4 linked regions of the Stegostoma tigrinum genome follow. The protein of the gene in region 1 interacts with the protein of each later gene in a pairwise test. Links are inferred from orthologs where the notes say so. Each region holds a gene or a part of one and is shown in the gene's direction. Other genes may lie near its edges.

What was found.
Region 2: the proteins of tk1 (region 1) and transducin-like enhancer protein 1 interact in a two-hybrid assay, tested with the Homo sapiens proteins (2 studies listed by BioGRID and IntAct). The link is inferred for Stegostoma tigrinum from reciprocal best matches to the Homo sapiens genes TK1 and TLE1.
Region 3: the proteins of tk1 (region 1) and gdf9 interact in a two-hybrid assay, tested with the Homo sapiens proteins (2 studies listed by BioGRID and IntAct). The link is inferred for Stegostoma tigrinum from reciprocal best matches to the Homo sapiens genes TK1 and GDF9.
Region 4: the proteins of tk1 (region 1) and unc119a interact in a two-hybrid assay, tested with the Homo sapiens proteins (2 studies listed by BioGRID and IntAct). The link is inferred for Stegostoma tigrinum from reciprocal best matches to the Homo sapiens genes TK1 and UNC119.

Annotation. Positions count from the first base shown.
Region 1 is NC_081375.1:15,188,041-15,195,807, reverse strand, and holds the start of tk1 (thymidine kinase, cytosolic), read left to right. Parts: upstream 1-4,750; 5' UTR 4,751-4,960; coding exon 4,961-5,026; intron 5,027-5,355; coding exon 5,356-5,387; intron 5,388-7,767. UniProt on the Homo sapiens protein: Cell-cycle-regulated enzyme of importance in nucleotide metabolism. Catalyzes the first enzymatic step in the salvage pathway converting thymidine into thymidine monophosphate.
Region 2 is NC_081356.1:61,834,568-61,841,995, forward strand, and holds the start of transducin-like enhancer protein 1, read left to right. Parts: upstream 1-4,426; 5' UTR 4,427-4,533; intron 4,534-4,562; exon of another isoform or gene 4,563-4,935; 5' UTR 4,936-5,020; coding exon 5,021-5,044; intron 5,045-5,516; coding exon 5,517-5,617; intron 5,618-6,231; coding exon 6,232-6,295; intron 6,296-6,452; coding exon 6,453-6,497; intron 6,498-7,428. UniProt on the Homo sapiens protein: Transcriptional corepressor that binds to a number of transcription factors. Inhibits NF-kappa-B-regulated gene expression. Inhibits the transcriptional activation mediated by FOXA2, and by CTNNB1 and TCF family members in Wnt signaling.
Region 3 is NC_081366.1:23,291,552-23,299,083, reverse strand, and holds gdf9 (growth/differentiation factor 9), read left to right. Parts: upstream 1-4,515; 5' UTR 4,516-4,561; coding exon 4,562-4,895; intron 4,896-5,422; coding exon 5,423-6,300; 3' UTR 6,301-7,136; downstream 7,137-7,532. UniProt on the Homo sapiens protein: Required for ovarian folliculogenesis. Promotes primordial follicle development. Stimulates granulosa cell proliferation. Promotes cell transition from G0/G1 to S and G2/M phases, through an increase of CCND1 and CCNE1 expression, and RB1 phosphorylation.
Region 4 is NC_081380.1:47,276,155-47,283,344, forward strand, and holds the start of unc119a (protein unc-119 homolog A), read left to right. Parts: upstream 1-4,179; 5' UTR 4,180-4,203; coding exon 4,204-4,339; intron 4,340-4,371; exon of another isoform or gene 4,372-4,386; coding exon of another isoform or gene 4,387-4,414; intron 4,415-4,607; coding exon 4,608-4,850; intron 4,851-7,190. UniProt on the Homo sapiens protein: Involved in synaptic functions in photoreceptor cells, the signal transduction in immune cells as a Src family kinase activator, endosome recycling, the uptake of bacteria and endocytosis, protein trafficking in sensory neurons and as lipid-binding chaperone with specificity for a diverse subset of myristoylated proteins.

The DNA of each region.
Region 1 (7,767 bases):
AGGATGGGTTAGTAAATTTGCAGACGACAATAAGGTCGGTGGAGTTCTGGATAGTGACGAAGGATGCTGTAGGTTGCAGAGAGACATAGATAAGCTGCAGAGCTGGGCTGAGAGGTGGCAAATGGAGTTTAATGCAGACAAGTGTGAGGTGATGCACTTTGGTAGAAGTAACCAGAAGGCAAAGTACTGGGCTAATGGTAAGATTCTTGGTAGTGTAGATGAGCAGAGCGATCTCGGTGTCCATGTACACAGATCCTTGAAAGTTGCCCCCCAGGTTGACAGGGCTGTTAAGAAGGCATACAGTGTTTTAGCTTTTATTAATAGAGGGATCGAGTTCTGGAACCAAGAAGTTATGGTGAAGCTGTACAAAACTCTGGTGCGGCCGCAGTTGGAGTATTGTGTACAGTTCTGGTCACCGCATTATAAGAAGGATGTGGAAGCTTTGGAAAGGGTGCAGAGGAGATTTACTAGGATGTTGCCTGGTATGGAGGGAAGGTCTTACGAGGAAAGGCTGAGGGACTTGAGGCTGTTTTCATTAGAGAGAAGAAGGTTGAGAGGTGACTTAATTGAAACATAAAATAATCAGAGGGTTAGATAGGGTGGATAGGGAGAGCCTTTTTCCTAGGATGGTGACGGCGAGCACGAGGGGGCATAGTTTTAAATTGAGGGGTGAAAGATATAGGACAGATGTCAGAGGTAGTTTCTTTACTCAGAGAGTAGTAAGGGAATGGAACGCTTTGCCTGCAACGGTAGTAGATTCACCAACTTTAGGTACATTTAAGTCATCATTGGACAAGCATATGGACGTACATGGAATAGTGTAGGTTAGATAGGCTTGAGATCGGTATGACAGGTCAGCACAACATCGAGGACCGAAGGGCCTGTACTGTGCTGTAATGTTCTATGTTCTATGTCTATGTTCTATGTATTTCTACCCAGCTCAATTGTGATGCTCATACTTATCTTGGCCTGCTTAGCCCAGACAGGCAATTGCACATCTAACATACTTGCCAATTCAATTACTTTGGCTTTTATGGTCTCTTTTAGATCTCTTCATCTGAGATGCCTCTTCTATTTGCTGGAAAGGTTTTGCAGATTCTACTGTCATCTTACTTTTTAAATGCAAAACCTGGTGTATATCCTTCTCCTTTACACTAACTCCACATTCAATCTTGTCTTGTCTTTGCGCCAAAATCCCAGCAAAAGAGACCCCAAACCTTGTCAGGATTCACTGTGGCATTGTGCTGGAAATCAAGCCCCACTACCTATTGAGTGTGTCAGGACTTGATGCCAGTAGTGAATACAGCAGGGCACTGATGTACATCATGAATGGTGCAGCCAATGTTGTCCCATTGTTTAATAATTACAGGCCTGCGAGCCTCATGTTGGTAATAGGGAGATTATTGGAAAAGATTCTCAGGGACCACATCTATATGCATTTAGAAGAAAATTGACTTATTAGAGGTAGACAACTTCACGTTGGTGGTAAGGAAATTATTGGAAAAAGATTCTCAGGAACAAGATCTATATGTATTTAGAAGCAAATTGAATTATTAGCAATAGACAGCATTGTTTTGTGGGAGGGGAGGTCGTGCCTCACTATCTTGATCAAGTTTTCATGAGGAGGTGACGAAGGTGAATGATAAGGGAGAAATGGTTGATGTTGTGTAAGTTGATGATGTTCAGTAAAACCTTTGACAAGGTCCCTCATGGCAGAATGGTTCAAAAGTTGAAGTCACGTGGTATCCAGATGAGCTGGCAAGATGGATACAGAACCAGATTAGTCATAGGAGACGGGGGGGTAGGTTGATTTTCAGAATGAAGAGTTGTGACTAATGGTATTCCACAGAGATCAGTGATGGGACCTCTGTTGTTTGTGATCTACGTAAATGATTTGGAAGAAACCATGATAGAAGTTTATAAGATAATAAAATGTGAGGCTGGATGAACACAGCAGGCCAAGCAGCATCTCAGGAGCACAAAAGCTGACGTTTCGGGCCTAGACCCTTCATCAGAGAGGGGGATGGGGGGAGGGAACTGGAATAAATAGGGAGAGAGGGGGAGGCGGGCCGAAGATGGAGAGTAAAGAAGATAGGTGGAGAAGGTGTGGGTGGGGAGGTAGGGAGGGGATAGGTCAGTCCAGGGAAGACGGACAGGTCAAGGAGGTGGGATGAGGTTAGTAGGTAGCTGGGGGTGCGGCTTGGGGTGGGAGGAAGGGATGGGTGAGAGGAAGAACTGGTTAGGGAGGCAGAGACAGGTTGGACTGGTTTTGGGATGCAGTGGGTGGGGGGGAAGAGCTGGGCTGGTTGTGTGGTGCAGTGGGGGGAGGGGATGAACTGGGCTGGTTTAGGGACCCATCCCAGGCCCCAAGGTGACATTCCACATTAAGCAGAGGTTCACCTGCACATCTGCCAATGTGGTATACTGCATCCACTGTACCCGGTGCGGCTTTCTCTACATTGGGGAAACCAAGCGGAGGCTTGGGGACCGCTTTGCAGAACACCTCCGCTCAGTTCGCAACAAACAACTGCACCTCCCAGTCGCAAACCATTTCCACTCCCCCTCCCATTCTCTTGATGACATGTCCATCATGGGCCTCCTGCACTGCCACAATGATGCCACCCGAAGGTTGCAGGAACAGCAACTCATATTCCGCCTGGGAACCCTGCAGCCATATGGTATCAATGTGGACTTCACCAGTTTCAAAATCTCCCCTTCCCCTACTGCATCCCTAAACCAGCCCAGTTCATCCCCTCCCCCCACTGCACCACACAACCAGCCCAGCTCTTCCCCCCCCCACCCACTGCATCCCAAAACCAGTCCAACCTGTCTCTGCCTCCCTAACCGGTTCTTCCTCTCACCCATCCCTTCCTCCCACCCCAAGCCGCACCCCCAGCTACCTACTAACCTCATCCCACCTCCTTGACCTGTCCGTCTTCCCTGGACTGACCTATCCCCTCCCTACCTCCCCACCCACACCTTCTCCACCTATCTTCTTTACTCTCCATCTTCGGCCCGCCTCCCCCTCTCTCCCTATTTATTCCAGTTCCCTCCCCCCATCCCCCTCTCTGATGAAGGGTCTAGGCCCGAAACGTCAGCTTTTGTGCTCCTGAGATGCTGCTTGGCCTGCTGTGTTCATCCAGCCTCACATTTTATTATCTTGGAATCTCCAGCATCTGCAGTTCCCATTATCTCTGATAGAAGTTTATAAGATTGTGAATGGCATTGACAGAGTGGGAATTTTGAGGCTTTTTCTCAGGGTGGAGAGGTTAATAACTAGGGGACAGTCATTTAGGGTGTAGAGAGGAGGCCAAAGTTTAAAAGTGATGTGCAAGGCAATTTTTTTCACACAAAGAACAATGAGTGCCTGGAACACACTGCCAGAGGCGGTGGAAGCAGACACAATGGCAACATTCAAGATGCACCTGGATGAATACATGAACAGGAAGGGAATAGAGGCAAGTGGATCGTGTAACTGAATGTGAGGCTGGATGAACACAGCAGGCCAAGCAGCATCTCAGGAGCACAAAAGCTGACGTTTCGGGCCTAGACCCTTCATCAGAGAGGGGGATGGGGGGAGGGAACTGGAATAAATAGGGAGAGAGGGGGAGGCGGACCGAAGATGGAGAGTAAAGAAGATAGGTGGAGAGGGTGTAGGTGGGGAGGTAGGGAGGGGATAGGTCAGTCCAGGGAAGACGGACAGGTCAAGGAGGTGGGATGAGGTTAGTAGGTAGCTGGGGGTGCGGCTTGGGGTGGGAGGAAGGGATGGGTGAGAGGAAGAACCGGTTAGGGAGGCAGAGACAGGTTGGACTGGTTTTGGGATGCAGTGGGTGGGGGGGAAGAGCTGGGCTGGTTGTGTGGTGCAGTGGGGGAAGGGGAGATTTTGAAACTGGTGAAGTCCACATTGATACCATATGGCTGCAGGGTTCCCAGGCGGAATATGAGTATGGACTTCACCAGTTTCAAAATCTCCCCTTCCCCCACTGCATCCCTAAACCAGCCCAGTTCATCCCCTCCCCCCACTGCACCACACAACCAGCCCAGCTCTTCCCCCCCACCCACTGCATCCCAAAACCAGTCCAACCTGTCTCTGCCTCCCTAACCGGTTCTTCCTCTCACCCATCCCTTCCTCCCACCCCAAGCCGCACCCCCAGCTACCTACTAACCTCATCCCACCTCCTTGACCTGTCCGTCTTCCCTGGACTGACCTATCCCCTCCCTACCTCCCCACCTACACCCTCTCCACCTATCTTCTTTACTCTCCATCTTCGGTCCGCCTCCCCCTCTCTCCCTATTTATTCCAGTTCCCTCCCCCCATCCCCCTCTCTGATGAAGGGTCTAGGCCCGAAACGTCAGCTTTTGTGCTCCTGAGATGCTGCTTGGCCTGCTGTGTTCATCCAGCCTCACATTTTATTATCTTGGAATCTCCAGCATCTGCAGTTCCCATTATCTCTCGTGTAACTGAAGACACTTTTAGTACAGAAGGGCAAAATGAGTCAGCACGCACCTGCTCCTGTGCTGTATTGTTCTTTGTGTAGATTATTGTGTTTAATTTGAGGACAACATGTTTCAATTGTTCTGATATGATGACCTTCACTTTGGGAAATCCTGCTATCTTAAAAATGTATTTCTTCCAATCTCATAGGTGCCTGTAGTTTTTTGGTGTTTCACAAATCAGCTAGTGTCACTGAAAGAGGTCTATTGGCTGGCTCGGCCCACGTGACAACAAATTGTCACTTTCATCTCTTGACGTAATTTTGGCGGGGGTATTAAATTTGAAAACGCTTTGCCCTTTTCTGCTGTTTCTCTCTGCGCTCAGAATCTTTCATCACTCTGTTATATTTCGCTTTTTATTCTTTTTCCTGGGCATCTATTTTGTTTTGTTTCCGCTCCACAATCTTTATTTCTATTTATATCAGCTGGTGTTTGTATAACTGTTTATATTTTACTTTCTGATACAATGGACTGTTCCTACACCCCAGAAATCCCAGTTTCATCTCCGCGTAAAGTGAAGGGTCAGATTCAGGTAAGGGGGATAAAAATGCACACTGTTGATTCTTCAGAATAATCGAGGACACTGTTTTTAAAACAAAGCTTGACCAGAATCTCCTAGAAGAGATACCCAGCATTGTAGAGATTGTTTGAGATATTTTTATTTCACTCAATGAATCTGTGATAAATATGCAGAAATTGACCCATGTTAAACTTGGTGTGGGTCTGATTTTAAGACAGTATTTCTGCAATCGTTTTGATTTTTTTTTCGTTTTTGATCCCACTTCCTGTATCTCGCCAAAGGCGCCACTATCATCAGAGAATTGATCTTAAGGATGTTTCCTTTCTTTTTGCAATTTACAGATCATCTTCGGACCGATGTTCTCAGGGAAAAGGTAACAGATATAACGTTGCATTTGTTTTTCAAATAAGACTTTCAGATAGAAAGGTTCTGCCTGGTCGCTGAGGCTGTGAATTTGTTGGTGACCTCCTTGCTACTTGGCGCGAAGTGTTTTGTTTCCGGCCAACTGTGTTCCGCAAACCGGCCTCTGCTTTTATTCCACAGTTTCATTCCCGCTTCTACCAGGGCCAAGACACCAAAGTGTCCTGGATTTTAATCCACACTTTATTTCTCTCTGCTGGTCATCCAGCACTGGGATATATCTCCGCGATTCCTCTCCTCCGAATGGTGTATCATTCTGTAATATCTGCTTGGAAACGTTTCAAATCTGTTTCGATTGCTACAAATCTCTCAATGTTCCATCTGCCCTGATGTGTTATCTCCCAGTTTGAGAAACGTTCAACACTTTTTTTTGGACGTTCTTTCCAGTTATTAACTGAGGAGTCAATAACAACAGTAACTCGCGTTTATATAGAGCCTTATCGTCCCAAGGACCTTTTACTGAACATTTTGAAATAAGATCTGACACCCCAGTAGGGTTTCAGAACAAGTGACCATGAACATTATTTTGTCAAATATGTTTTGGGGAGTGTCTGAAAGGAGAAAAGAGAATTTAAGAGGTTTTGGGGAGGGAATTTCGTTTCTTGGGGCAAATCTGCACCTGAATTCAGTTGTGACACCGAGAATGCAATTTTTTTTTTGCTTCAGCTGCTCACAGTAACCAGGGAGAGGGATCGAGTCAGTGGCAAGGCAATGGAGTTTACAGCTGGGAGTGAAGATTTTGGTTTTCCTTAACACTTCTCAGCTCATTTAGTACTGGGTATCAGGTGATTTAGAGCCGTGGGCCTCACATTTTCCCAGTGACATAACTTCCAAACTTCGATTTTTGCTGTTGCAATTCAAGAAAACTTCCATGGCGACTTGCACTGCCTTTAGCTTAGTTGTTTATTGCGAACCGAGCGGAGGTGTTCTGCAAAGCGGTCCCTAAGCCTCCACTTGGTTTCCCCAATGTAGAGGAAGCCACACCGGGTACAGTGGATGCAGTATACCACATTGGCAGATGTGCAGGTGAACCTCTGCTTAATGTGGAAAGTCATCTTGGGGCCTGGGATAGGGGTGAGGGTTCGCAATAAACAACTGCACCTCCCAGTCGCAAACCATTTCCACTCCCCCTCCCATTCTTTAGATGACATGTCCATCATGGGCCTCCTGCAGTGCCACAATGATGCCACCCGAAGGTTGCAGGAACAGCAACTCATGTTCCGCTTGGGAACCCTGCAGCCCAATGGTATCAATGTGGACTTCACCAGCTTCAAAATCTCCCCTTCCCCCACCGCATCCCAAAACCAGCCCAGTTCGTCCCCTCCCCCCACTGCACCACACAACCAGCCCAGCTCTTCCCCTCCACCCACTGCATCCCAAAACCAGTCCAACCTGTCTCTGCCTCCCTAACCTGTTCTTCCTCCCACCCCAAGCCGCACCTCCATCTCCTACCTACTAACCTCATCCCACCTCCTTGACCTGTCCGTCTTCCCTGGACTGACCTATCCCCTCCCTACCTCCCCACCTATACTCTCCTCTCCACCTATCTTCTTTACTCTCCATCTTCGGTCCGCCTCCCCCTCTCTCCCTATTTATTCCAGAACCCTCACCCCATCCCCTTCTCTGATGAAGGGTCTAGGCCCGAAACGTCAGCTTTGGTGCTCCTGAGATGCTGCTGGACCTGCTGTGTTCATCCAGCCTCACATTTTATTATCTTGGATAGCAGTGAGGATGCTTTGTAGGATACCAATGTCACAGGCCTGTCAAGAAGAATGGGAAGGAATAGTTTGCCTTTTGTCAGAGCCACTTAGCACTTCACTTTGAGATTTCAATAAGAGCTGTCTTGATGCAATGGCAGGGGCTGAAACCTGATTTGGAGGGCTTCTAAGAGCCCTGAATTCCTGGAAAAATGGGTTGGAAATTGTTCAAGAACTTTGGAGAAAAATGGGACATTAGATATGGAATATCTATCGCCATTCACAGCACCATTCTGGGTATAAAGGGTACAACAAACTTAGCTGCAAAATAGTGAAAGAAACTAGATTTAAAAAGTCAAGCATTACTTTCATAGAATTATTAGAAAAGTAGAGAAATGAAGTGAGCATCTGCAGACACTTATCTCAGTGGCTTCAGCTCAGGGAAATGTCTGTGGAATCTTTTCTGAATTAGTCTAACACCTCATTGGAAAGTCAGTACCTCCAACAGTACAGCAATTTCTCAGTATCTTACTGGGATGTCCGCTTAGAATGTGTTCAACCCACCACCATCTGACTGAGGTGGAAATTTACACAAATGACCTAAGACTGTCATTTGACTGTAGTTCCCAAACTTGC
Region 2 (7,428 bases), on another chromosome or scaffold:
TATATGGAGATGATCATAAACCAAGCTTGTTTATTTTTAATTCAAGAATCACAATTTAAATGATTTAAAATTCACAATACAGTACAATAGTTTCCTTGTGATTCCCAGGTGAGATTTAATTGTACTATATAACAGATATAAATATGTAGATCTTCACATCTGTGATAATAAAAAGATGCAAGGATCAACAGTCTTTTTGTCAGCTTCTTTCTAACCACTGAAGAGACCTGCTTTAGTAGTGACTAGATTTCACCTTGACTGCTTTCTCTGATTACATAGTAAACATGTAAATTTACTCTGTGTTGCTGTGTCGCATACAATGTCACTGAGGGGTTGAATCAGAAACTTACTTGATTATACAGCTGAAGTGTTTGCATTGGCTGCATGATGGATAAATAAGATAGTTGCAGGGTTATGTAAATAGTATATCCTATTCTATATAATGCTTCCAATTGCATGCTTATCTGATGTGAAGTATTTTCTAAATGGATGCAAATATAAATCAAGGTTTTTGGTTATTGCTTGAAACTATTGATGTCATATTTCCAGATAGATGTGTGCTTTATTCAAATATACCTCCACCTAGAACAGTGAATTATGCAAATGGTTGACACTTTTGCCTTCTCCACTCCATCTATACGTTCTCCCCCAATCATCAGCTCTACTTGAAATTGAAGAGCAAATTTTAATCTTGACACTGCTGTGTAACAAGAGCACTAGAATGCATTGAGGAGCCAGTCTTGGTTATCTCCCCTTTAAATGAAATAATGAGCCTTTGGCTATATCCAGGTATAAGTTACAAGGATGCATTCCACAAACTGCAATTGTATTCTGTTGAGTTTAGAAGGTTTAAGGGAGATTTGATAAAAAGTTTGCACAGTACTAAGGGGAACTTGTAGGATAAATAAAAATGAATTCTTTTCATTGGCTGGGTGTCTAGTTCCAGGGGAATATAAATTAGAACCTGACCTTTAAGAAAAGAAGTTAGGAAACACTTCCACAGGAAAAAGGTTGATAGAAGTTTGGAATTGCAAACTGTAATTAATACTAGATCAATTGTAAGCTTTAAATCCGAGATTAGTAGATATTTGTTTTTCAAGGGATACAGGACAAAGGTGGGTTTATGGAATTAGGCCATAGATCAGTCATGATGATACTTTATGAGTTTAATGGAACTTTAGCTAAAATCAACAAGTTTATAATTATTGAGTTATAGCCCTATAAAACTGTTTTAGTATAGGATTCCTTGTTAGCTGATTCCATTATAACAATATTCTAGCACTGCAATCTTGTAAAAGATCCACACTTCTAGTCAGGAAATCTGTATCATTGGGAAAAAAATTACATAAAATTAGACAGTAGAATTAAGTGAGGTCAATGAACATTGAAGTTTGAAAAGTTGTAAGAAGATAAAACACAGTTAAAAATGTATGTACCAGATTGCAATCAGACCATATTTAGTCTTTAGAATTTGATGCTACGCAAATTTAGCATTTTGGAGACTTGTAAATACCCAGAATTCTTAGCACACACTGAAGGTGGAGATGAGTGTGGGCTCTTGCATTATGGAAAGTGTGCAGCTGCTCCACCTGCCATTTGTGTTGGTGTGAACTTAAGCCTTTGGAGGCTTGGGATTTATTAGCAAACTGCTAGGCAGCTACAGATGCCCAGAGAGATCCCATTGCACCTTGTTTGTTCTTGGAGTTAGAAGTTATCCAGATCTAATGTTGATCTAGATGGAAAGTCAGGCAGGAAGAAGTCCAATGGAGTGCACAGTAAGGGGAGTGGGGGGATAGAAAGGTAGCGAGAAGTTGTAGTGACCAAATACACCAGCAGTGAGAGATTTTTTTCAAGAACCAGAGGGGCATTGTTGATCCTCTTGGACTTATGTAAAAAAAACAAGCTTATCTTAACTGTTTATTGAGCAACCATCAATAATTCATTTGAGAACTGCTAGTTAACCAGGTTTGGTGCATGATTCTCTAAGCAATATATGGAAAATTGTTTATAATTTTAATTTGTATATTTAGCAACCTACATCTGTTCCAGGGGATTGATAGCCCACTCATCCACACATTTGTGTTGAAGTTGCAATGCGCAAGTTTATAGCATTAATGCGCAGGTTAAGGTGAAACTTCTGACAAACTTATATATACCCCTAACCCTTGCAAAAAATTCACCCTCTCTCACTCCAACCTGACAATCATACCAAACCACCAGTCTCCAGCAGCCCACCATCTTCAATGTTTTCAGCTGCTGCCATCTGCCCTTTCTGTGGCAGGCAGTTGAAAATTATCCCAAAAATAGTCAAATTCAAGTGCACTTTAAGGTAAAGCAGGAATTAAGGACAGGGAGTAATGTTGAGTTTCATGAAGTTGAACCATATTTTCATATATTACTTTAAATTTAGTTGTTATCTAGCAGAGTTGTTCTAAAATTTTGCAATTTGAAAAGCAGGGCATGATTTTTTAAATATATAATCTTCCCTTAGCAGTACAAGCTGTCTGTAATTGCAAAGTTGAAATGGTGTGACAGCATGGTAACCATACAGAAATTGTTTTAAAAACACAGTACCATGACAAAAGCATGAAATATTTGAACTCAAGAATTGTTTATAGAATACTCCGATATAATGATGTGAAAATAAGGACTGGATATGTGGTTTAAAAATGGGAACTGATTTACAGCTGCATATAATCGCACACTGCCCTCTAAACCAGATTCATCTGAAATATAAACACAGAAATTGATGGTAAACATCAGTTGTTCTGAGGAAGGGTCACTGGAACCGACACGTTAACTCAGATTTTTCTTCACAGATGCTACCAGACCTACCGAGTAAAATTGCTGGAAGAGCTCATCAGGTCTGACAGTGTCTGTTGAGAAAACTCAGAATTAACTCTTCGGGTTCGGTGATCCTTCTTCGGACCTGCTGAGCTTTTCCAGCAATTTCTGTTTTTGTTTCTGATTCTAGAATCCGTAGATCTTTTGGTTCGCATTTGAAATATTCAGTCCTCATTCCCAGTGTGCAGTGTATTGTTAATTTTTTAATCGTTCCATAGCCTATTACTGTGTAAGATGTCTATGTATGTATATTAAAAGTTAACTTGTTATTAATACGGGGAATTGTCTGCATTTTTACGACACCTTGGTAAAGGGTTCGCGGATGGCATGACGCCTTGACAGGAGCGATACCATGAGTTACTTAGGAGTGGAATAAGAATATTATATTGTACTAAGATTCTTGTCATGAAGCAGTTGAAACAAATGAAGGCGTCTTTTAGGTATCGCGCGTGTGGTCTGGAGTCTTTACATTTACCACAGTTTCAGCTCACAGAGGTCCTGCGTGCAAAGAAGGTATTGTCTGGAGAATATCACCACGAGACTTTCCCCCAACAAAAATCTAGTCCGGACCCCGAGCAAATTGTAGTCTGGGTGGGGGTGGTGTTGGTGGAGGTGAGAGCGGGGGTGGTTGTAATAGATATAATCTGTTTCTCAACACATATAACTATTTCCAATAATTAATTAACGTTCACCGTGAATACTTCTTGTGTCACTTAACAAGCGAGGAGAGCTGTAAACAGAATAAATCTATGTAATCAAGTCTGGAAAAGCCGATATAATACCTGTTAAACATCTGGATACAATTTTCTAGTAAAACGAAATGAAAACACACGTGGGCCGCTTTGATGTGCATTTCAGCACTAACATTGTTGATGTGTTGACGCTTTTACCAAACCTAGGACTTAAAATGAAGTAGATCTTGATAAAAATTGGGGAGCGGGGAGCGATGTGGAGGGGCGGCATAAGTACCTACCAAATAAATTCCAATTTATTTAATTAATGCTTCGTATATAACAAGACCTAAAATTATGATTACATTGGCTTCAAGGAAACCGTTTTGTTCAAAGTTGCTTTCGACAATCATAACAGCCCGACAAAATGCACTGCAACAAAACCGAGATGTGAAGCTTCTCTACATTGTTATAATTAGTTAACATTCCTGCTCTGGTTCTTTTAGTTGTGGGTGGGACAAAGGCTCGTCTGTCTGTGTTTTTTCCCCTGTCAGTGTTTGGAACCCACGTTACTTTGAGTGACAGCTGAGCCCGCCACCGCCCTATTGTCTCTCTCTGACTGACTGACGGACGGCCACTCGTTTGATTCGAACCGTTTCAGTTTAGCCCGCGCGGGTGGTGGGGGCAATGCGAAGGCGGGGTGAAAGAATTAGACCAATCAGAAAGAGACAAACGGACACAATACTGCCCTTAATTGGTCTGAGGGCGAAGCCGTCAGCGTGATTGATGTGCAATAGTATCCAATGGAAAAAGAGTCCAATGGCAGGCCGTCTTGCGATTGCTGGGTTCAGTCTCCGCTCAGCTTGACTGACAGCTGGCCTCCTGCGGTCACCACCTTCCATTGGGCAACACTCCGTGATGACGACATAACCCCACGTGTGACAGAGGTCGCTTTCCGGATCCTGATTGGCGTAGAATGGAACGGAACGTAGCCTCAGACTGCGCGTGTCTAAATTTGGTGAGCGATCTCTCGAGGGGGGGTGGGGGGAAGCGAAGAAACCGCGTGTTAATGTAACCAGTCTGTGTGGGGGAAACTGCTACATTGTTTTCCACTGTAGCAATTATACCCGCTTAAACTTCGCACGGTATACCTTTTATATTTATTCTATTGGATATACTGCAATCGAAAAAAAGAGAAGTCGAGAAGATTTCCTGGGGCGGCTTAGGAATTTGTTCTTGTTACAGAAGTGGCAATTGCTGTTTTCCGAAAGGTTTTGTTGTCCTAAAGATCGACAGGAGTTGAATCGGGACAGCGGAATCTGCCAGCCTCCCTGAGGGCTTTAAAGCCTCTTAAAACACCACCTTTTTGGGGATCCGAACCCAGGATGCGCTTGCAGTAAACACTTTATTTTTCTTTTAGAGGGGATTGTTATTAATGTGCGTTTCTTAAAGAAGATCGAGCGATTGTTTGAGCAACGGAACTGAGCTTCTGGCGGACCCAAGCAATGTTTCCTCAGAGCAGGCATCCTGTAAGTAAAGAGAAAGCAGCTCTCCTGGCCAACCGCTTTGTTACTTCATTGTGTGATCTTTATTCAAGGAAAGGAAAACACCTTCAGCGGACTAATGTATAGTTGCACTACCAGCAACGTGTCGTGTGATGTATTTTGTAAGCGGAAAACTACTTCTAGCCGGTTCCCAAAAATCTGCGTGCACATCAGTTCATTACTATGTTTTGAACCAATGTCATCTCAATAACTGTCCCCCTGAAAGTTGGGCAGGAAGATCACTGATTCTACTGAGCTTACTTGGACCAACAAAAGGTCCGGTGTTTAATTCTGTCAGAGGACCTTGCCCTCTTTCAGTGTCATGTGTTTGTGTTCGTCGCTTTCTTCTGTCGGAAAGTTTCTGATATAAATCTGCCTAGGCTGCGCGTTGATTCGTTCGCGATCTGTTATCTCTGTGTACTTGTAATTCTTGTTTCCTTACCTACTGTTTTCTCAGACGCCGCACCAGGCTGCAGCCCAGCCTTTCAAATTTACCATCCCCGAATCGTTGGACCGTATTAAAGAAGAGTTCCAGTTTTTACAGGCTCAGTATCACAGGTGAAAGAAGTCTCCCATTCTCTGCCGGGGAAAAGTATGTTTATTTGCTGCTGGTTAGTCCAGGCTCCAGTGTTATTTGGTTTGTCTGCGGTAGGTAGCCAGTGGTTACTTTGCCTCACCAGAGAGCGGCGCTCTCGCTGCGGCCAGATTTTGTTTCCTTTCAAAAGATTGCAACAAACCACACATTGAGGAAACCAGGAGCCTGAGTGATCTAAACCCTCTGAACTGTTTTTTTTGACACTCATGAATTACATCGTTGAAAATCGTAAATTACATGAGCTGATTTCGATTGCGTATAATTCGGTTTAAGTCAATACTTTATCCATTTAGAACAATTGAGTTTATTTGCTTTATGTATCTTGATGTTTACAGTTGAATTTTAATATCCGGTCCATTACAAGGGGTCGAGTTGTCCTTTTGATTTATCCAGTACTTCCGCTTTTGCCATTACTGCAGTCTCTTATGTAGGTACTCTATTTAAGATGCTTTCTTGTTGCTTCAAGAAGTTCCTATGTTGACATTCTCGGGGTTGTTAGGGATCGGTAACAAGCACTGGACCTTGTAACGACAGTTACATCTTGTGAAAGATTTTTTTTAAATTTTGTGTTTTATAGTCTAAAATTGGAATGTGAGAAATTGGCAAGTGAAAAGACAGAAATGCAGCGACACTATGTTATGGTGAGTTTAAACAATTATTTTGTAAAATTAGAAGTAGCGTGGTATTAGTTTGTGACGTTATCCAATCTGACCTGGGGAGTAGACTACTGAAAACTCACTCTTCAGTTTCATCAAAAGATCACTATCACTTGGTTTATCATTTTTTTTTCCTTTACAGTATTATGAAATGTCTTATGGATTGAATATTGAGATGCACAAACAGGTAAGCTCATTTTTATAGAAACATTTTTTTTGGGCATGGTAAAGTAGAAGTAGCAAAACATTTCCCATCAACAAATCTAATCTGAAGGAAGAAAATAACTTAACCATTTTGGATCAGGTCATTAATTAGAACTTGGAATGTTTACCTTTTCTTTCAGATGTTGGTTAGAGCTGCTACATTTTCTTAATAGCAAGTATTTCATTTCAAATTTCACTTTTTAATGTTGTATGGTGGATTAGGGTTACAGGAAAACAAATGTATTTACAACATAATGTTAAAATCCAAATGTTATTGTATGGCTGGAAAGTTGGCATGATCATCACGGCTTGATAAACAGAATTTATTATTCTAGAAGGTTTTATGTATTGTCCACAGAGCATGGTGTAGTGTAAGTAATGCTCTTATATACACAAAGATCTAATTTAAGGTGAACTGATGCTGCTGCTTGGCTCTGCATGTGGAGTTTATGGGGATGGGAGAAATAAAAGCTCTTTGAGGTTTAAAGCAACGGTCATAAGTTACTGCATTGTATATTTGTGATAACTGAAGCTGCTGTTGTACATGAGGCGTAGATACTCAATTGATGAACTGAAATGAGGCAAAACTATTTTTGAGAATATTAAAATAACAAACAAAGCACAAGGAAGGTGGACAATGTGCGCAAAGCAAATCTCAAGTGATTGATGTATTAAATGGCGCTTTGACTCTGGTTGTTTGCCAAGAAAGCATTAATTGTGGGATGCAAGCTACCCAAGAGAAGTAGTGACTTTGTGATTTCTAATCCTCAAGATTCGATTGATAGTAAGTCCTTAAGACATTGATTTACTTCTTAAAAGGTCACTATTAAATTATCTCCTCAGCTGATGCATGCTTGCCCAAAAAAATGGGAATGTGTTTCAACTTGGCTTTTGCTTTGATTGATATAATGCTG
Region 3 (7,532 bases), on another chromosome or scaffold:
AAAATTATTGATTCATAAAATCATGTATTCATTTATCACAACCACCAGATGCTTTACAGTCAATAAGTACAATTACTGTTGCAATGCAAGCAACACAGAAGACAATTTATGCACAAAGTTCCCATGAACAGAATGGTGATTGCAGCTGGATAAAGTTTTAATTTTATAGATCGACAGCTAGGCGATAAATAACATTCTGGACACTGGGAAATAATGCATCCAACCCCCAAAACAAAACCTTCTTTTCAGCCGATGCCATAGGATCTTTTACATTCCCTTTGGAGTATATGGGCCTCAATTTAGTATACAAATTAAGAGCATGGCTAGACCATTCAGGCTACTTACTTCACCATTTTCCAAAAAATCATAGTTAATGTGTTTATGGCTTAAAAACTACTTTCCATCTACTCCCAGGAGCAGGAAAGCTGACATTTTGGAAGGGTGTAGGCCTGAAACGTCAGCTTTCCTGCTCCTCTGATGTTGCTTGGCCTGCTGTGTTCATCTCGCCCCACACTTTGTTCTCTCGGATTCTCCAGCATCTGCAGTTCCTACTATCTCTTCCATCTACTCCCAACAACTTTTGAATCTCATTGAAAAGATTACCTCAGGCAATGCAGCACTCCTTGATTATTGGATTAGGGTGTCAGTCTTGATTTCCATGTTCAACAATTCTTGATTAGGACTAATTCAGAATATGCAACAAATGTAAGTAATTAAAATAAAACAAAAGTAAAATGAGCACTAGAAAGTACAAGAGATAATGGGAACTGCAGATGCTGGAGAATCCAAGATAACAAAGTGTGGAGCTGCATGAACACAGCAGGCAAAGCAGCATCAGAGGAGCACAAAAGCTAACGTTTCGGGCCTAGACCCTTCATCAGAATGTACAATGTGTGAGCTCTTAAAACAGAGACAAATGTGTAAGTGTTTGGAAATAGAGGGACACAAAAAGGTCATTCAGTCTCTTAACCTTTTCTGCAGTCCAGCATCTTAACCCAATTTACCCACTTTATCCCCAAATACCCTTGTTAAACAAAACCTTTCAAACCAATCTTAAAAATCTCAATTGAGTTAGCTTCATGAGCTCTTTGAGGTAGAGTTTCTCACTTCCACTTCTTGTTTTAAAAAAAAGTGCTTAATTATTTCACCTCCTAAAAAGGGAAATTAAGATTCTGACCCCTTGTTCAGGATTCCCCAAATAGTGTATACTGTTTATCTGTATCTGCTTCCTTTGTGAGCTCAATACTTTCCAAATTCAGTTGATCTCAAATAAAGTTCAAGAAACCTGTTGATCTAAAGGTGCCCCTGTCAGGTGCATCTGCACTATGCCTCTGCAAATATTAAAAACATATTTTCCAAAAAGTATAGTCAAATTAGAATGACAGAACAGTATTCCAGTACAGACCCAACAGATTTACACTTTACTTCTGCATTTTACTACTTGGATACGAATATAGGAAGTATTGTTAGTAAGTTTGCAGATGACACTAAGATTTGGAGGTGTTAAGGACTGCGAAGGTTACCTCAGAGTACGATGGATATTGATCAGATGGCCAATGGCCCGAAGAGTGACAGATGGAGTTTAATTTAGATGAATGGGAGCTGCTGCATTTTAGAAAGGCAAATCAGGGCAGGACGTGTACACTGAATGGTAAGGTCCTGGAGTGTGTTGCTGAACAAAGAGACCTTGGAGGGCTGTGGCAGGTAGACAGGACAATGAAGAAGGCTTTTGTTATTGGCCAGCTCATGGCATATAGGGGTTGGGAGGTCATGTTGCAGCTGCACAAGACATTGGTTCAGCCACTTATGAATTGCTGCATGCAATTCTGGTCTCCCTCCTATAGGAAGGATTATGTGAAACTCAAAAGGGCTTAGAAAAGATTTACAAATATGTTGCCAGGGTTGGAGGGTTTGAGCTTCAGGAAGAGGCTGAATAGGCTGGGGTTATTTTTCCTGGAGTGATGGAGGCAGAGCGGTGATCTTATAGAGGTTTATAAATGATCATGAGTGGCATGGATAGGGTAAATAGACAAAGGTCATTTCCTCAGCGTGGGGCAATTCCAAAACTAGAAGACATACGTTTAAGGTGAGAGGGGAAGAGATTTAAGGACGAAGGAGCACCTTTTTCCACAGAGAAGGTAGTGCACACGTGGAGCGAGCTGCCAGATGAGGTGATGCAGGCTGGTACAATTACAACAGTTTAAAGTGCATCTAGGGGAGAGTAGAAACAAAGAGTTGAGAAGGACATGAGCCAAATCGGTCTAAATTTATTTAGGATATCTGGTCAGAATGGATGAGTTGGACCAAACGGTCCATTTCAATGCTGTATACTGCAGACTAATTTTTTTTTAAAAACCTCCCAGTAGCTTTTTAAAATTGAAAATAATAATGCACAATGAGAGCAACTAAAAAAGATGTTACTTCTGCATCTGAAAGTAGACTAGGTTACAATCTGCTAGCATCTAAAAATAGAACAAAGCATCATATAAATTTCTGAGAACAGATATGCAATATGCAACCATCTAAAAAACTGAAAGGTGAAACAGAAGGTCGGTCAGGAATGGGTTTCTCCACCCGACACTCTCTTATTTTCAAAGAGCATAATACTCCATCATATTTCTACCATTCATCATTCTGAAGATAATTTACATTTGACTTTAAAAAATGAATCATTTCTTGTTCCATATAGAGTTACCAGACCAGAGTGGTTTCCAATTTAATTCTTTTCTAGATCTCCAGAATGCACAAAATTTTGCTTTTGAGATGCTAGAGCATCCAACAATTCCTCAGGTCATTATCCCAAGTTAATCTATCTACAGCTTTTTCAAAGCTGTTCCTTCCATCACAAGAAGTCAAAAGTGGGACATTGCCCAGTGATTCCATTCACAGCTTCTAAAGAAGTGAAACAACCTACACCCACATACAGCATAGCTTCGACCACTTTCAATCATTTCCCTCAACATTACAAATCATGGATTTTTCCTAACATGAACACCAAAAAAGGCCCCATTTACCAGAAGCCCAAACTGAAACTAGCCATATAAGCAGTGATTGGCAGTGAAGGAAGGAGGCTGGGTATTCTGCAGATGACAGATCTAACATACTAAACCACATCTACCATTCACAAGCCACAGGTCAAGAATAAGATGACATACTCCTCACTTGCCTGAATGAGGACAGTGGCAAAACTCAACATCCAGGATAAGGCAGGATGCTAGAAGAGTATCCTATCTAGCACCTTCAAAGTTCACTCATTCCACCATCATTGCAATGGTGCAAACAGTGTATGCCAACAACCAAGGTGTACTACAGCCACTTTCCAAGAAGTCTTCAACAAGATGTTTCAAGCTTTAGCAAATGGAAGGTGAAGGACAGCAGACACAAAGGGGCACCACTACTCACAAGTTGCCCTCAATCATCCCAGTTTGAAAACATTGCCCTTCATCTTAAGTCACCAGATCAAAATCCTCCTCAGTCTCACAACAACTCTGTAGGAGTATCTTCATTAGTGTGACAGAAGGCAGCTCACCACCTTCTCAACAGTAAATATTAGGCATGTAAATTATATAGACATTCCTAAATAACAAGACACAGGTATAACGTGACCATTTAAAACCACAGCATACACTTTGAACATCTAAAACAAATGCAAAAAGTGTTTTCGCATATTCAAGTGTTTATAAAACCTGACCACCTACTTTTCCTCAACTCTGTCTCATGTTTAATGCCGTACGGAGACAGGAAAAACCCAATACATTTGCTGGGAATCGTGAATAAAACCGGAAAATAATGCACTTAACAGCCCTGGCACATCTATGAAGAGAGGATTAAAATTTCAAGCGATTTGTTCTGAGCACTCCAATACCACGCATTTGTAACTAAAACGATAATCAAATCGATTTACTGATCCAAATCTGTTACTGCTAAGGAAACCCCTTTAGGCAACTCGTGGGACATATTAGCAGCTACACAGGTTGCAAAAGGTAGGAAAAATTAACAGCAGACTGGGAATTAGAATCACGGACGTGAAATGAAACTTGTGGGAGATCGGAATTAACGTTAATAGTGAAGGCGGCTAATGCAAGACTATCACCTACACCCACAACTAAACAATAATGGCAAAGAAAGGAGTCACAAAACAAGTGGGGGAAGGGGGGGTATATAAGGAGCAGCGAAGTCATAATAAATAATTGAAAAGTCTTAAAAATGAAACTTTGAAGTGGCAGCTTTATCACGAGTTACTTCACTTTTTCTGATTAATTCATAATCTGGTAATGCAAGTCTTGTTCCAGATTGACAAACCGTGTTGATCTTTAATTCACATTCATCACAATCTCAGTATTCTTGCGTGTCATATAAGGGTCGTCACTTTACCGATTATTAAATTATGTTTCTTAATAGCCTTAATAAGATTATTGACTCACACTCCCTCTCCGCACTACACCCCCCCCCCTTCCGATTACAGCCTCTTTATAAGGGTCAGAGACCATCTGTTTCTAATTCTATTGAGCTGAGTAACTTTTTTGAGTGGGTTAGTGGCGGCTTAATCTTCGTTTTGAGAATGATGCGCCGTGTAAAAGGCGCTATAATGCATCTTCATTACAGTGTTTGGTTAGCGTTGTTAAGTAGCTGTATCTCTCTCACCACATCCGTCAGCTCTGCCGGTCCAGAGGTAACCTCAAATCCCCAGGATTATATCCCGGTTCCTCTTCTAAAAGTGTTAACGGAAAAGCCCGGCTGGGACTATCAGATTCCTACAAAACCCGATTTAAAATACATGAAAAGACTATATACTAAGTGCGCTACGCAAGATGGAATACCGAAAAGACCTGCAGCTCAGCAATATAATACTGTGAGGTTGCTGAAACCCCGGGTCGAATTCCGTGACGCGGAAGGTAACATCGAATTTAGAATGTAGATACTTGCTCTTCAAACATCATTATTTATTTCATACATAATCTCTACATTGCTTTTTCTGTGAAGAGCGGAGGGAAATACATTTTTAAACTCCATTGATTACAAGATTCTGGTGTTAAAAAGACTTGAATAGAAGCATGTTCAGCGTCTCTTACGATTGTTGTAGATTGAAAAGGACCAAATTTATGAACACGTTACAACTGCGCCCTCTGATTTTTGGGGGTGGGTGGGTTGGTAGGTAATTTAATTTCAATCCTATCAATAACAAATTGCTTGCATCTTTAACTCAATTCACCTTGTTTTTAAAATTATTTTAGGCTTTAGCTTTGGCGGGGGTGGTTACAGTCGTTATTGTTAATGTCTATTACAACTGCGAGGTTATTTGCATTTTAAAAGCAATTCAACTTGCTTTTAAAACAATTTTGGGCTTTAGTTTTAAAACCCATTGGTTCCTGTCCCATATTGACATTTGAGTTTCATGTCAATTCCTCCCCTTTCTTTGCAGATGCGTTTGAACAGGATGTATTTTATGGCTTGGATCCTGTGACCTCGCGGGAGCAATTGCTCCGATCAGTGTTCCTGTACCCCATCGATAAATCAGCGTGCTTTCCGACTGTGTGTAACTGCAGCTTCACCGTCCAGGAGGGGGATCATGCTCAGATGTGCTCCAGCTCTCCGCATTCATACACCTTCCGCCTTCGCTTCGAACGCCGCAAGAGGCGCCAGTGGTTGGAGGTGGAACTCTCCTCCTTCCTGCAGCCGTTCATCGGCCCCGACCGGGGGCAGCTACACGCGGTGTTCACCTATAAGTGCACCGAGGCCTGCCGGAGACAGGGAGGTCGCAGCGGGCTCAGACCGAGCCTGCCGGCTCCTTCCCTGCTCCTGTTCCTCAACGACACCGGCGAAGAGTCACATCGGAGTTGGCTGCCGACGGATGCCCAGAGAAGCCTCCTCTCCGGTGGACGGAAGGGGAGGAAGGTGGCCGTGAGATCCATCCGACTCCGCAGAGATCCCCAAGGTGGTGAGCAGGCGCTTCCCGCTGCCTTTCCGCCTTTCCCGTACCCGGATCACGAGTGTCAGCTGCATGACTTCCGACTGTCTTTTAGCCAGCTCCGGTGGGACCGCTGGATCATTGCACCGCATAACTACAACCCTCGCTTCTGCAAGGGCAGCTGTCCCCGGGCACTGAGCCACCGCTACGGCTCCCCTGTGCACACTTTGATCCAGAACATCCTCTACGAAAAAGTGGATTCTTCAGTTCCTCGCCCTTCCTGTGTCCCCGCCAAATATAATCCACTGAGCGTGTTAACCCTGGAAAACGATGGCTCTATAGTTTACAAAGAGTACGAAGACATGATCGCTACGACCTGTACCTGCCGCTAGTGGGTGTTGCGTGCCTTAAGTTGGCGTGCTAGTTGGAATGGAAAATGTTGCTTCAAAAGCCAAGAAAATCGCCATATGTACCATAGTGAACTTTTATTTATATATATTTGTTTTATTTATTTTCCTGCTTAGTGTTCGTTCTAGACTTAAATGCCCAGGGTGGGCTGTGGTCCTCGATTGTTAAACGGCCGTGTGAATGACTTCCAAATACCTCATCTAACTCCCGATTTTTCTTTTGAAACGTTTGTTTTTCCAAGTGTGCTGGTTTGTCCTCGTAACAAGTTTTTAATGTTTAAAGCCGTACGAAGCGGAGTGTTGATGTAGCTGTGATGTGTCTTAAGTGACGTTTTTCTTGGCCATGCAGGCATGGAAAGTTGAGTACACCACGATCACCAATACTACCTTCACCTCTCCCTAAATCCGCCCTTTAAAAAGTAACTTTTTTTATTCAAACGTTTGGTGATGTAGCAGAATTTTATTTGGGTGGGTTACCAGTATTTATTCAGAATAGATACGTTAAATAATTCTAATCTTTCACAAACTGTGCACCACAGCCAGCAATGAAATGAGAAATATTTCCACTCGGCTGAAGTTCCAGTGACTTTCGACGCTCAACTGGAGAAAATTCTTGTTTGGCTGCTAATTAAAATTTATGATGTAAATTTTTAAAAACTTTTTTAAAGAATACATTGAGTGAGAATGAATCTTTTGCACAATTGAAATTTGTGGCACAAGACCCTGGTGGTATCTGGTGTAGTTTGTGTAAAATCTATGAACAATACTGATGCAAGCTCTACATGGAGAGTGAAGATGTAATAAATAACTATTGCAAATAACTTTGAATTGCATTTGAGTGTCTGGTTTTTCTCCTGGAATTACAATGTTTGTGGAAAGTTAACTTAGTAGAAATGGCTTTTTAAAAGACCAGTGGTAATTTTCAAATGCTGCATTGCTTGTATTTTCTAGCACTGCCAATATAGTCCTTTGTCTGTTGCCCACTTTGTGAGCAGTCATGTTTTCTCTAACTTCCCCTTAACCCTTATGAAATGGTTTTGGTGCTCTGTGTAAAATGCCAGAGTTCAAATTGGCACTTGTGTTCACTATATATACTCATCACATCGGGCCTCCAATGTAGAGTTAGAGCTGTTTAACCACATCTAATGGAATTGCCATCCCTATACTGAAAGGCAGAACTGTACAATACTACCCAACTCACATACGTCACCAGCAAC
Region 4 (7,190 bases), on another chromosome or scaffold:
CGTGATCATCGTACATTTTAGTGAGAAATAAAAATTCCAAGGGGAAAATGCACCATCTGTGGTTTAGTAGGAAGATTAAAGACGGTATCAAACTGAAAATGGTGCAGATCCAAAGAATTGACATAATATATTTTAAAAAGCACAGATTGATTAAAAGGTTAATAAGGAGAGAAAAATTAGAATGAAGCAGAGTGGAGGGAGGAATGAGCGATCACTCCATCATTACCCAGAAGCCTAATTCACTTCTTTGCTGCTGATCCTTGGGAGTAGGCACCTTGTTCTGATTTTGACTAGGAGCTATGTTACCATGGCCAAAGACATTGGGTGAAAGTGCCATATTGTTATGAGTTGATGACAAATATCCTGGGTTCAATGTATAAGAACCAAATGCCACAGTATTGAGAGGGATACAAAAGTAGCCTCAGTTTCTGATCGGAGAAGGGGGTGTTTAGCTGAGCAATAACATATGGCAATCAGGTGAGAATTGATTTAGTTTAGGAATGATTATGGGTAAGGACACTTTGAACCGTGCCGTAGAATTTTTAATATCCACACAGGGCAGCAGTGTACCAGTTTGTCCAAACTGCATCTTACCTGACAACGCAGCACCTTCTCAGAACTGCATGAGTGCCAGACTACATTTAACACCAATAACATGATATAGCATCTTCTTATTCAGTCAATATAACCTGGACAACCAGCAGCTGAGTGAAACTGAGATCCCACAACCTGGATAATGTTTTAACACAAATGTTTCTATGAAAGCAGCTCTTCAGGATTGAGATGGATACATATTTTTTGATAGCAAAGCATATGAATAGATATTTGAACAAAGATAGATCATTTCTGATCATCAGTGATTGATAGAACAGGCTTGAGGGGCTGAATAACCTACTCCTAATTCTAACAACCAGGCTGTTAAACCAGATATTACCTTTTATATCTTAGACTTTTTCTAGTGCTTATTACCCAGATAAGCAAGACATGCTACATAACTACTCTCCGACCTGGCCTACACTGAAACATACAAATCTGACGTGAGTTATTCTGGTTGTTGTAATGAGAATAGTGTTGTTTTAAAGCGAGTGACAAATGTGCAAAGGTGGTATGAAGAAAAGCATTTCTACGTTGTAGTTGAGTATGAACTGGAATACGCTGCAGGAAGTAGCTATAGACTACAGAAAGGGTGGGTGGATTCAATCATAGCTTTCCAAAGGGAATTTGCTAAATGCCCAAAAGATGAAAATGTCAGTAGTTGGTATGTTCATCAGCCTGCTGAACTGTTCCATTCATTTATGTCTCGGATCTGTCTGAATTTTGATTGTTATCTTACCGTAATGATGTGGAGCCTGTCCATATCAAGATTGAATAGAGCTGAATAACTTTTTTGAGTTGTAGAAGTCTGTTTATTGTAATTCTTCCCATTCCATTATTATACTTTGGAAGAATGCAGCTCTCTCTGGACATTGCTTTTCAGGTGTCAGAACTGGTCTCTTGGATTACTCTGCTACTACAGATGTGCTGTATTTTTGACCTGCAGGATTTGAAAGATGTTTCCTCATTTTCATCAAACCAACTCCTGATGCACTTTAGCTATTTGGTCTGAGAAATGTTTGCTGTTTTCACTGATGATGTATTTAAATTAGTGCGTTTCTCAACACAATCTCCATAGAAGTGTGTGCCAGCATGAGCTTTTGACCAATTTTGTTGCAGCAAGCCGTTTTACTGAATTCAGCCATACTGAAGGATCTCTGATGGCTTTTGGTCAGCTGTACTGAGTTGGAACAATTTGCAAGTTGACTATTGCACTCATAGGTCTGTGATCAGTCTACCATTCTGTACATCCTGGCGATCTCTCTGACACACAGTGATACAGTTGATCATGTGTTTTGACCTTATCAACTTGTCTGAACATTGTGTTGTTAATACAGCGTATGTGCTGAGGACACTTTGCTCAGTATTGATGGGTTGCTGTTACATTTATCGCACTTAAACTTCTCGCAACTATCCCATCAAAATTACAGCACTCCATGAGACAACGCTTGCTGATGAGGATCACTAAAGGAAGATGGACATGTCTATACTTTTCTTCTGGAACAGGAAAGTGGAAATACAGGAAACCCTGTATCTCCCTGAACTCCTTTCCAGTTATTGCTGAATTTCACCACATAGGCATTGGTCTCCCAGGAGAATGAGCTTATTACTAACAGATGTAGACAGGACTGATCCAGATCCTCCAATTTATTGTGTCATGTTCTCAGGGCTGCTGAGATTTGGTGTATAGGTACTGATGATGGTCACTTGATATGTTTACTCCAGCGGGAAGTGCAGCTGCATGGGGTGCTTGTTGATTTTGAAGGAAGTGTGTAAGTGTCTTACATTGGGGATGACCTGATGATGAAACCTTCACCATCTATCCTTTTCTTGCTACTCACTTTCCTGTTCCAGAAGAAAAGTATAGACATGTCCGTCTTCTTTTAGTGATCCTCATCAGCAAGCGTTGTCTCATGGAGTGCTGTAATTTTGATGGGATAGTTGCAAGAAGTTTAAGTGCGATAACCAGGAGTTCTCCGTTCAGGCAGTATTGTGTCATCTGTCTAGTAGTTTGCAAATTCCAAGCTTCAGTGATAAATTGTTTTATTTTCTTTGATTTTGACATTATTCAACTGCTTTCTGGATGATCTGCCAGCTGCAGCAGACTGGCAAAATGTTGACAGGGTCGGCAATATTTCAGGTACATTTTCAAACCCCTTCCTCTCAAAGGGTGGACAGTACTGCCCAGTCACCCTGGATGCTGCCAGACTCTCTCATCCCAGGTATGCAGATTAAGTAACCTACAGTGTGGAATCAGGCCCTTCGGCCATGGTCCAAGAGCTGGATAGTAACAATGACCACTAGTGGTCATTGCCATCGGCCACTACACCATGAACCCGTTACTGCAGGGCTTCTGAAAAGACAACATGTTTGTACCAAAACCTTCGAGGGAATATTTAAAAATAAGCAGAGCTGTGGCACAAAAAGCAGTCCACTCCCTCGGGTACAGAAACCTGGTTTCAATGATACAGAGAACCGTTAAGACTGAAGACTTGCTGCTGTGGGTGACTGCTACATCTTTTGAGCATTTTCATGTTCTTTGTGCTGCACTTTGCTGGGCTGCCGCAATGACTGTTGAATCAGACAAGTGGTCTTTCTTACCTAGGTTTCTGGAACAGCCATTGTCTGTGAGAAACAGGCAACTCAGAAACTCGGTAATAAAATATGAGGCTGGATGAACACAGCAGGCCCAGCAGCCTCCCAGGAGCACAAGCTGACTGGTCCAAATTCATTCACACTGCACCAGTAACATCCGAGGGCATTCCCAGTGTGTTATCTGACAGAATTTGACACAGACGCAGGGGGAGCCAGACTGCCAGTCAGAGAAGCAGGTCTTAAACATCTTCAAGACAGCATAGGGGTTTAGTGAGGGCATGCTAGAGCTTGGGGCCTGGGAAGCTGACAGCACGGCCATCGGTGATGGAGTGATTAAAATTAGAGAGACCGGGATTGGAAGATCCTGGTATGTTCTTACAGGTTAGAGCTGGAGGAAGAAAGAGATGGAAATGAAAAGAGATTTGAGAACACAGATGTGGATTCAGTAGTCCAGGAATGAGATATCAGGTCCGACTGTATCTGTGGAGTGAGGGGCGGTTCACATCCAGTTTGACTCCTCTTCGAGATTAATGCTTCCTGTTCCAAATAAGAGTCACATTGAGATTGTATCAGTGAAAATGGGAATTGCAGATGCTGGAGAATCCAAGATAACACAATGTGCAGCTGGATGTGGTCATCCAGCTGCACACTTTGTCACATTGAGATTGGAAACGTTAACTCGATTTCTGTCCAGACCCTGCCAGTGTTTTTTTTTGTGTTTTCTTTTAAAATTTCAGAGCGTTAGCGACCTTCATCTTAAAATCTGAGGGTGTCTGGACCAGGAGCCAGAGTAGGTCAGCGAGCAGAGGGTGGTGATCAGCACTTGGTGCGACCGAAGTGAGATGCTGATGGCTGAGTTTTGGTTGAGGTGCAGTTTATACATGTAAGGCTGGAGACTGGCCTTTGCCATGTACAGTACGCAGGTGCTTTCTAGCACACACCGGCTAGTGCCCGGTAGTGGGAGCTCTGGTTTAAGAGAGACCGGGGGGCCCGAGATTAAGCTGTCAGAAATGCATGGTCTTACATCCTAATAGTTGCTATCCTCGCAACGCTCCGCCCTTTGTTTATTATATATTCAAAACTGCAGCCCATGCTGATATTTTAAAACATAAATGCAATAGAAACGTGTATCAACGAATTTACTGCTCAGGTATTGCGAACGGATTGTACCATTCCTTCAGAAAGGAGAGGGATTCGATGAGAGAGAACAGGGTAACACTGAGAGGTTTGGATGCTTGAGGGGTAAATCCCATCCCCCTCAGTTATTGATGTTGTGTAATTTTATGAATGGGCTGTTTGCGGGGGAGGAAGGAGTGAGGAAGAGTCTATTTGGAGTGGTGGGTGATTGTGTGTGTCCCTTGCGTGTGGGTGGTGCAGTCCGCACTGGATACATTGTAACGGTTTGATTTCCGCTCCAGGTAAAGAGCGGATCCTGCGGCGGCAGCACCAAGAGCTTCGGCTCCGGGCAGGGAGCCGGAGAGACATGAGCTTTTCTGGCACCAAAGCCCTGAGCAGCAACACCAAGAACCAGGACGCGGTCGGCATGAAGGTGAAGAAGGCGCCGCCGAGTGAAGGGCTTCCGGCCACCACCGAGGAGGAGCTGCTGAAGAAGGAGTGTGTGACCCCCGAGGACGTGCTGGGTCTGCAGAAGATCACCCAGAGTGAGTACAGCCTCTTAAAATGGACAGCTGAAAAAACACTGCCGCGGCAAGACCGAGAGCTGGAGGGAGGCAGGAATTGAGCTGCAAGTGTCCCCAAAGTCGGGGAGCCAGAGCTGGGGAAGAGGGGCTCAGAACCCCCTCAGTCCAGAGCCAGGCGCCCACAGAGGCAGGGGTACAGAGTTTCAGAGCTCAATACTCTCCTTAGCCAGGTACCGGTGTGGTGGAGAGTAGAGGCGGTCCTTCACGAGATTGTGTGTGGAAGGTGAGAGTAGGGATGTAGACACAGAGTATCTGAGGTTCTTCTGGTACCCAAAACCTTCAGAGGCTGAGACCTGATAGACGGTACAGGAGGTGGTGAGAACACACATTTCACAATTTGAAAGGGCAAGGATGGAGCCAATGGGTGGCATAAGCCTATTGGAAAGCCTGGATCCAGGCAAATGAAGCAGAGGCCAATGGGAAAGGTGAGTGTGTCAGGCAGAATTTACCTCCTTTAACTGCTTCTGGGCAATCAACTCAATTACTTGTTCACAGTGAGTGTCCACAGGGGCCAGCAGTATCCCAGCGGCTGAGCTGGGGGAGCTGCTCCCAAAACCAGTCACACTTTAAAACCGAGAGTGAGAGTAAGTCTCTCCCAATAAATGACATTTAACAAAAAGTGTTAGTTCCTACCCCCAACTGCCAGTTGGAACACTCTAAAGGAAGTTCAAACTGTCTGTACTGTGATGTCACCTAACAAGTATTATTTTTCAAATGTTACATTATTTTGTGATGGCTTCACCCGCGATGTAAGTTGCATTTTTCCTTGAAGAAATAGTTCCAGTACCTTGAGTAGATAAAGTTGCAACAAATTTCTTAAAAACGAGGCATCAGGTACCAACCCTGCCTTTGAGGAATGAAGAGGCATTACATACATTGGGAAAGCATGGTCATTGCCTTTCCATCCAATGATTGTATGAAGTTAGATACAAACCATAGGATTTGTGTCCAGTTCATCTTTTGTGCCAGATACATTGATAAAAACATAGAAGATAGGAGCAGGAGGAGGCCATTTGTCCCCTCGACCCTGCTCTGCCATTCTTCACAGTCTTGGCTGATCGTTCACCTCATTAGCCCGACCTGCTTTCTCCCCATAATCTCTGATCCCATTTGCCCAAGTGCTATATCTAGTCGCTTCTTGAATATATTCAGAGTTTTGGCATCAGTGACTTCCTGTGGTAATGAATTCCACAGGCTGTCCACTCTTTGGATGAGGAAATGCCTCCTCATTTCCTTGTACTGTGACCCCTGGTTCTGAACACACCCGCCACCAGGAACATCCTCCCTGCGCATCTACCTTGTCCTGCCCTGTTAGAATTTTGTAAGTCTCTGTGAGATCCCCCCTCATTCAGCTGAAAGCTAGTGAAAATATTCCCAACCTAGTCAATCTCTCCGCATACATCAGACTCGCCAGCCCCGGTATCAGCCTGGCAAACCTTTGCTGCACTCCCTCGAGAGCAAGAGTGTCTTTCGTCAGAAAAGGAGATCAAAACTGCATGGTTAATGATATGGTAATTATTTAGAAAAGTTTGGAAAAGCTGTATGCTTCATCTTTGCTAACACTGGGCCTGACCTTCTGATTTACAGCTTTGTTTTAATCCTTTGATTTTCGAGTTAAAGACTTTTTGATTTCTTTGTATAGATTCATGCATTAATTGTGTTTCTTTTTTCTGTTGTCAGCTGTGATTTGTAACTCAAGAACCCAGCAGAGAGCTCTTTAATCCTGATGTGGGTCTTTTGCCCTAAGCTTAGATACATGGCATGTAGTTGCTCACAAATGGTAAACCAGAGGCTCCCAATAACTAAATTTTAAATGGGAATATTCAGCTCTATTGCTTGGAATTTATTTATCGGAATCCATGTACTCCCACTTAGACTGATATTGTCCTGAACTGTGAGGGATTCTGTATTGGTGTGGTTCTGTAAGGGCTGTCAGTGCTGGATTCAGATTCTGCCCGAATCTCTCAGCTCGCAGCCATTCCAACCAAAATTAGAAAAGCAATGTTAGTTGATCCTGCCTGTTTTCCATCTCCTTGGTCGTTTGGTGGCTTCTGGAAACTGACATTCTCAGTAGTTCCCAAGAGTGCAGAGTCCCATCCCAAAACACTGCAGTTAATTGGAAACAGAGGTCCCAGACAGGAATTGCCATTCTCTATCACACTTTCCATTCAAAGAGCGTTTGTCAATTTTAATCAACCTGTTTGGACATGTTATGGTATATCCCTGGGCAAATGGTTCTTGAATCCAGAACTCCTGGCCGAGAGTAGAGACAGTACTACTGAGCCACAAGACTCTGTGAAA